2 linked regions of the Ovis aries genome follow. The protein of the gene in region 1 purifies or fractionates together with the protein of each later gene. This does not show direct contact. Links are inferred from orthologs where the notes say so. Each region holds a gene or a part of one and is shown on either strand. Other genes may lie near its edges. The genes, in order: FNTB and DYRK1A.

Region 1 (4,353 bases):
GTGACTCTAACTCACACAGACCTACTTATTCCCAGATTTAGAATTATTCTGGCACCTCCAGGACTTCACTCAACAACAGCACTTCTAAAATGGACATGGTGATAGTGTTTACCTACCTTGGGCCTCTGGACCATTCCGGCCTCATCTTTAGACACTGAGAACAGGGGGATGGCTGGTTGTGAAATATCATACCATGGTTTCCTGGGTCCTAGACATGTGACTTGGAATTGAGTGGGAACAGAGCAAAATCCTCTGAGCTGGAAATGGATCTTGTGTCCAAGTTTATCTGGAAAGTCTGTTACCATCTTGTCGTCTCAAACCCCCAAGCCCCCACCCCTACTCTAAATAATTTAACCTCTTGGTATTATAATTTTGGAGTAGTCTTTTTGTTGTGGGTCCCTGAAAGAGGGTCTCTTCTATCGCTTGCCCAAAGGTAGCAGAGTTTTCCTAAAATCACTACTTGAACATTTAATGGAGACGTATATGATGATTAACCCCACTTAAGAGGAATTTTATTTGGAACACCTTCAGATTAAATACAAACACACGTGAGCATATTTATTGCATGTTCTTGGAACTTGCTGTTCCTTTCTCTTGTGAGGTTCTTCTTGATGTTGTTGACGTGGATGGCTCCTTGTTATCTCTCAAGTCTCATTCTCCATGTCACTTACCTGGAGAGGCTTGGCCAGACCAGCCAGTCTAATTAGTCCCCTCCTCCTTTATTTTCACAGATCCTGTTGTTTTTCCTTCATACAATTTATCACAAGTTTTCATGTATTTATTGTGTTCATTCACTTAAATTCTGTCAATTCTACCAGACTGTAGGATTCCCACGGGCAAGGGCCTTATTTGCTTCGCTCACTTTTGTATTCCTGGCACCTTGCACGGGTGCCCTGACTTCATTTAAAATTTCTAAATGAATGAGTAAATATTTCTTGGTTGTTTCACTTATACTTGTTCCTTCTACTGAGTTTTCGTTTCTGCTACTGCACTGTAACCCCAATGAGATAGGAGAAAATTATAGTGCCCCTTCCCTCCATCACTAAGTGCGGAGATGGCGATGCCTTTGTGGAGAAGCTACTTGCTGGCTTTTCCTGGGCGGCTGTCACGTACACAAAGGTGAACAATAATTCTATTCGTAATAGCATGACTGAGACAGGAGAGCTGTCAGAAATGCTTTACGAGTTACACTCATTGGGCTCTTGGGCACTCGCAACTGCAGACTACTGACATAACAATTAAGTGAGAATGTGCAGAATGTTGAAAAGAGGGGTGTGTGTGAAATGAAATTCGGACGTACACATTCTTCCCTGCCGCTAGGAAACTGAGCCTCTTGCAGCAAACCCTCTGTCCAGTTGGGGGCGGCAGCATCCCACTCCCTGAAGATGTGTAGGTGGCAGGAGCAATTCGCGTTCAGAATCTTTTGACTCTACCCGCTCACCGTAGCGCCTTAGCCCGCTCGAGTTTCAATGCGCGTTGTGGCTTGCCGAAGCTGAGCCCTATACACCGCCTGCTGCTTTCCGGATCATGGCTTCTCCGAGTTCCTTCACCTACTGTTGCCCTCCATCTTCCTCCCCTGTCTGGTCAGAGCCGCTGTACAGTCTGAGGCCAGAGCACGCGCGGGAGCGGTTGCAGGACGACTCGGTGGAAACAGTCACGTCCATAGAACAGGTGAGGTGGCTTGACTGGGTGAGGCGCCCGCGCGCGGGCTTCTGGGAGCGGGAGTCCGGTCTTCAGGGCTGCTGGGGCGCGGAACTCACCTGGGAACTACAGCTCCCAGGGTGCACCGCGGCGCTTCCCCTTTGGGAAGCTCCGGGCGCCCAGGCTTGGGCTGGGGGAGTGGAGGTTTTTTGGCCCAGGTTGGGGAGGGGTCGATGTCAAAGCTGGAGCGAGAGAACAGTACCTAAGCCTTGGGGAGCAGAGAGGATTTTGTTCCGTACCTGGAGTACTGAAGCAGCCCAAACGGATTTACAGCCCACTCCTTTCTGCCTGACATTGGGAGGTTCTCTGATGGAGAGTTCACTTTTTACAGCCTGATTGTAGTTGTGGGACAAAGAAGGGGAAGAGAATTGCCCAGACTGTGGTCATGCCGTTCTGTTGTAGGAAGGGGGAACCTTTGTAGGGCCTGATAGTGGGCTTTTGCCTAACACTCGGGAATGAATTGTCTAAGGAGATACGTGTGCTGACAGAGCAAGAGATTTTACTGAGAACGGGGTGCCTGGGTGGAGAAGCAGCAGGGTAAAGGAACCCAGGGGAACTGGTCTGCCACGTGTGGCTCACAGTTTCAGGTTTTATGGTATTGGGATTAATTACTAGGTTGTCTCTGGCCAATCATGTTGCTTGGTTCATAGCCTAACTCAGGGTCCTTTTTTGGCATGCATCTCTCAGCCAAGATGGATTCCAGGGAGAAAGACTCTGGGAGGTTGGTCTCTATCGTTGAGCCCCTCCTGAATTCTCCTGGTTAGTTTTTCTCTGAAGCACCACGTTGCTTATGGGGACCTCTTGTTGGCCAAGTTGGGTGATTTTGGTCAACACTTACCTAACTCCCCTGAGACACTTCATACTCAACATACTTATTGGGAATTGGGGCAGAGGTTTCTTTCTTCTGTAGCTACTTCCTGTTGGCAGTGGGCACCTTCTTATCTGCTGCTGCTGCTGCTAAGTCGCTTCAGTAGTGTCCGACTCTGTGCGACCCCATAGACAGCAGCCCACCAGGCTCCCCCATCCCTGGGATTCTCCAGGCAGGAACACTGGAGTGGGTTGCCATTTCCTTCTAGAGTAGAAATCTCTCTCCACCTGATCTAAATCTAGGCATTCTGTGTCTAAAACTGACTTCCACCCTTATAGTAACAATTTGGCCTGAAACTGTTGGACTCTGTCGGAGATAAACCTTGTAAGCAGATGAAACAGACAGGGGCTAAACAGGAGGCCTAATAGGATGTTTATTGCGGGGCTTGGAGGAGAGGGGGGGAAGAAAGGCAACATTTGGGGTGAGGGCTGCAGAGTGTGTGACTTTCTTCTGACTGGTAGGTGGTGAGGTATGGTGCTCCAGGAATCTTGGGCTCAGCCTGAAGTTACCATCCTCCACTTTGGGGGTGTGTGTGTGTGTGTGTGTGTGTGTGTGTGTGTGTGTGTTGTGAGGGAGGGGGGGGCAGTTTGTCATTAGAACTCAAAGATACAGTTATGCATGCTTCTGGAGTAGGAACCAGGACCCTGCCCCAAGGATGTCCCACCACTTGGCTGTTCCTCCCCTGTTTTTGCATCCTTTCCCTTCCCTGATTAGCAGCTGTTTGAATCTGCCCTTTGGAACTCAGTGAAGGTCAAGGAGGCTGAATGAAACCTATAACCTACAAACAGGAAACAGAAAGGATTTGTACTCTGTGGGAGCCCCACAGATTCCTGCTCAGTGTCAGTCCCTTCTTTGATACTTCTCAGTCTTTCAGGGAATGGGACAACAATAGCAGTGGCAAATTCCTGTTGAAATGGGGCCTAGTCTTGTCTCAGTTTAGGGACTAGACACTGAATTGGAAATGTTTCTGAGTTCTAGGTACTGGATCTGAGTCTCTTATTATTAAGATCTTAATCCTCTGTTCCACCATTTTGGTGTAACAGACTTAATTAGAAGTAATTAGAGGAGTGAAACCTGGAATAGGCAAAATAAATCTCATTCCCTGAGGTATTTAGAAGAATAAGCTTGAAAGCCTTTCTGAACCTTGCACCTTTGGGAGACTTGAAACCAGTTGTCTAATTGCACCTAAGTAAGTTTTAACTTCTGATGTAGCATTGACATAACAGGAGCTATTGGCCACTACACATATATTTCTTCTTTTTGTTAATACCTGATCTAAAGCACTTTCATTTTTTAGTTACAAGAGGATACCTTGAAGCCATAATGTTGCAGCTACCAGTCACCAGTGGACATTGTTTTGAGAAATGCCGGTGACATCCCATGTCTGACATAGCTCAGAAAACTCAAGTTCTCAGCAGTACTTGGCCTTGTCTGAAATCACGTCCATAATGCCTCCTAATATTAATAACCTTAAGTGTCTCAACCACAGCGACTCCACTTTGACTTTCAGTTTCATTTTTCTCCTTAATTGGCCAAAGCAGGTGTCTCTGATAAAAATTTTAGTGTTATCTAGGTATGAGATGATGTAAGAATTTGGGCTCATAAAATCTCTTGAAACTATAACCATCTGAAGGCTTGTTCTGTCAGTTTTTCCAGCGCACAGAGCACCTCATCCTTGATCTCCACACTGAACTCCTTTCGGGGATGTGTTGAAGGTCAGTGGCCACAGTACCCAGTGATCTCTTTGTTGCAGAGTCAGATGGAAAGTGCCAATTTTCAGTTGG
Region 2 (3,812 bases), on another chromosome or scaffold:
GAAAACTGACCTTTTCCAGTCCTGTGGCCACTGCTGAGTTTTCCAAATTTGTTGGCATATTGAGTGCAGCACTTTCACAGCATCATCTTTTAGGATTTGAAATAGCTCAACAGAAATTCCATCACCTCCATTAGCTTTGTTCGTGGTGATGCTTCCTAAGGCCCACTTGATTTCACATTCCAGAATGTCTGGTTTGTGATTATCTGGGTCGTGAAGATCTTTTTTTGTATAGTTCTTCTGTGTATTCTTGCCACCTCTTCTTAATAGCTTCTGCTTCTGTTAGGTCCATACCATTTCTATCCTTCATTGAGCCCATCTTTCCATGAAATGTTCCCTTGGTATCTCTCGTTTTCTTGAAGAGATCTCTAGTCTTTCCCATTATATTGTTTTCCTCTGTATCTTTGCACTGATCGCTGAGGAAGCCTTTCTTATCTCTCCTTGCTATTCTTTGGAACTCTGCACTCAAATGGGTAAAATTTCATTTTCTCCTTTGCTTTTCTCTGCTATTCTTTTCATAGCTATTTGTAAGGGCTCCTCAGACAGCCCTTTTGCTTTTTTGCATTTCTTTTTCTTGGGGATGATCTTGATCCCTGTCTTCCTGTACAGTGTCATGAACCTCCGTCCATAGTTCATCAGGCTCCCTATCAGATCTAATCCCGTGAGTTTCACTTCCACTGTATAATCATAATATCATGTGGTAGTTCTGTTTTTAATTTTTTGAAGAACCTCCTCCCTACTGTTTTCCATATAATGGTTGTACTACCATATATTCCCATCAGCAGTGTGTGAGGGTTTCCTTTTTTCTGCATCCTCACCAGCAGTTGTCCTTTGTTGTCTTTTTGAGAGTGATGTCTCATTGTGGTTTGGGTTTGCATTTTCCAAGTGACAAATGATGTTGAGTTGCTTTCCTTGTGCATGGTGGCCATCTTTGTGTCTTCTTTGGAAACGTGTAGTCGGATCTCCTGGCCGTTTTTAAGTCAGATTATTTGGGTTTTTACTAATGAGTTTTATCAGTTCTTTTTATGCTTGGGATATTAGCCTCTTATCAGATATGTGGTTGACAAATGTTTTCTCTCATTCAGTAGGTTGCCTTTTTGTTTTGTTGATGGTTTCCTTTACTGTACAGTAGGTTTTTAGTATAATATAGTCTCATTTGTTTATTTTTGCTTTTGTTGCTTTTGCTTTGGTGTCAGATTGAAAAAATCATCGCCAGGGCTTATTCCAGACTGTTTCCTTCTAGGAGTTTTATGGCTTCAAGTCTTTAATCCATGTTGAGTTCATTTGGGGTTTGGTGTAAAATGGTGGTTGAGTTTCATTCTTTTGTATCTGGCTGTCTAGTTTTCCTGACACCATTTAAATTAATTAACTAATTTCTCCTCTGGGTTGCGCACAGGCTCTCTGTGGTCTCCACGAGTAGAGCTGCTCTTTACTGAGCTGTGTGGGCTTCGCTGTTGCGCACAGGCTCGCTCTGGTCTCTGCGAGTGGGGCTGCTCTTTGCTGAGCTGTGTGGGCCTCTCTTGTGGCAGCCTCTCGGTGCAGAGCGTGGCCTGCAGTATTTGTGGTGCCCAGTCTTCGTTTCCCCGTGGCCTCGGGCGTTTTCCTGGGCAGGGATCAGACCTGTGTTCCTGGCGTTGGCATGTGGATTCTTAACTGCTGGACCACTGGGAAGTCTCACGACACCATTTATTGAAGGGAATAGCCTTTCTCCATCATATATGTTTGGTTCTTTCTCACAAATTAATCGACTGTATACACATAGGTTTATTTCTGGGCTCCCTCGTCTGTTCCGTTGATCTGTGTGCTGGTTTTTATGCTGGTACCTTGCTGTATTTGGTTACTGTCGCTTTGTAGTATAGTTCTGTATCAAGGAGTGTGATGCTTCCAGCTTTTTCTTCCTCAGGGTTGCTTTGACTACTTGGATATTTTTTGTGGATTACAAATTTTAGGATTTTGTTCTATTTTTTTGAAAAAAATGCCATTGGATTTTTAATTTTGATAGGGATAGCATTGAATCTGTAGATTGCGTTCAGTAGTTTGGACACTTTAACGGCACTGATTCCCTCTCTTACAGTCGGTGAGCGTGGACAGTCTTCCCGTCGCCTTGGGTCTGCCATGTCTCTTCCTAGTGTCCTTTTTCCATATAAAGCTCTTTCTCCTCCTTGGTTAAATTTATTTTTTGCTTATTTTGTTCTTTTTGATGCCTTTGTAAATGGGATTGTTTTCTTTTTCTGATATTTTATTTTATTGTTAGTATATAGAAATGCAATAGGTTTTTGTGTAATTGACTTTGTGTCCTGTAACTCTACTGAATTTATTATCTCCATAAGTTCCTTATGGAGTCGTCAGGGTTTTCCATATATAATGTTGCACCATGTGTATGCAGCAGCCAGGTTACTTCTTTATTTCCAATTTGGTTGCTTTTTATTTCTTTTTCATGCTCAATAATCTGGATATCTGTTTTAAAAAGATTATTCTTGTGATTTGGAGAGTGGTTCGGTAAATGGCAAGGGTGGAAGATGGGAGTTGATTTAGGAGGCTGTTGTGTTAGTCTAGGCAAGATGGTAGTGACCTCGGATAAAGTAATGAAGAGATGCCAGATGTGAGTTCTTATTGGAGGTGGCTTTAGTAGTACTCACTGATTGTTTGAGTGGTTAGGCAGCTAAATGCATAGTAGTGGTTCAGTTAAAACAGGAAAGATAGAGAGGAGGGGCTTTAGGGTAAAGAATGTCTTTTGGACTGATCAGAAATAACCAGGTTTACTCTCTGGCCTTTTCCAGAAGAAGTTTGCTGACCCCTGGCATAAACAGTGCTCCCAAGGAAGGAAAGTGGCCAATAAAACATACGACCCTATTTTTGGGTATAACTTGATAAAAACACTCTTGAAACATATTTGCAAGTTTGTGTTAGAGAGCTGTCTAAAACATTAAAATTTCAAACCCCTCTCTCTAATGTAAATGCTAATGTAGCTTTTAATTGAAGATTAAAGCTTGGAAACGTCCTGAATAAATCTTTTTACAATCTGCTCTTCCAGGTGCGTCAGCAGTTTCCTGCTCCCCTTGGTTGGTCAGGCACTGAAGCTCCTACACAAGTCACTGTTGAAACTCATCCCGTTCAAGAAACCACCTTTCATGTAGCCCCTCAGCAGAATGCATTGCATCACCACCACGGAAACAGTTCCCATCACCACCACCACCACCACCACCACCACCACCACCACGGACAGCAAGCCTTGGGCAACCGGACCAGGCCAAGGGTCTACAATTCTCCAACAAATAGCTCCTCTACCCAGGATTCTATGGAGGTTGGCCACAGTCACCACTCCATGACATCCCTGTCTTCCTCAACCACTTCTTCCTCTACATCTTCCTCCTCTACTGGTAATCAAGGCAACCAGGCCTACCAGAACCGCCCAGTGGCTGCTAACACCTTGGACTTTGGACAGAACGGAGCTATGGACGTTAATTTAACCGTCTACTCCAATCCCCGCCAAGAGACTGGCATAGCTGGACATCCAACATACCAATTTTCTGCTAACACAGGTCCTGCACATTACATGACTGAAGGACATCTGACAATGCGGCAAGGGGCTGATAGGGAAGAGTCCCCCATGACGGGAGTGTGTGTGCAGCAGAGTCCTGTAGCTAGCTCGTGACTACATTGAAACTTGAGTTTGTTTCTTGTGTGTTTTTATAGAAGTGGTGTTTTTTTCCAAAAAAAAAAAACAAAGTGCAAAGCTGCTTGAATCAGAAGGAGATTAACACACTGAACAGCTACAGGAGGGCAAAGCTGACTTTTTTTTTTTTTTTAACTTG

What was found.
Region 2: the proteins of FNTB (region 1) and DYRK1A purify together in Homo sapiens (affinity purification with mass spectrometry; 3 studies listed by BioGRID, counting the BioPlex papers as one). This does not show direct contact. The link is inferred for Ovis aries from reciprocal best matches to the Homo sapiens genes FNTB and DYRK1A.

Annotation. Positions count from the first base shown.
Region 1 is NC_056060.1:75,179,904-75,184,256, forward strand, and holds the start of FNTB (protein farnesyltransferase subunit beta), read left to right. Parts: upstream 1-1,444; 5' UTR 1,445-1,527; coding exon 1,528-1,671; intron 1,672-4,353. UniProt on the Homo sapiens protein: Essential subunit of the farnesyltransferase complex. Catalyzes the transfer of a farnesyl moiety from farnesyl diphosphate to a cysteine at the fourth position from the C-terminus of several proteins having the C-terminal sequence Cys-aliphatic-aliphatic-X.
Region 2 is NC_056054.1:270,310,398-270,314,209, forward strand, and holds part of DYRK1A (dual specificity tyrosine-phosphorylation-regulated kinase 1A), read left to right. Parts: intron 1-3,031; coding exon 3,032-3,652; 3' UTR 3,653-3,812. UniProt on the Homo sapiens protein: Dual-specificity kinase which possesses both serine/threonine and tyrosine kinase activities. Exhibits a substrate preference for proline at position P+1 and arginine at position P-3.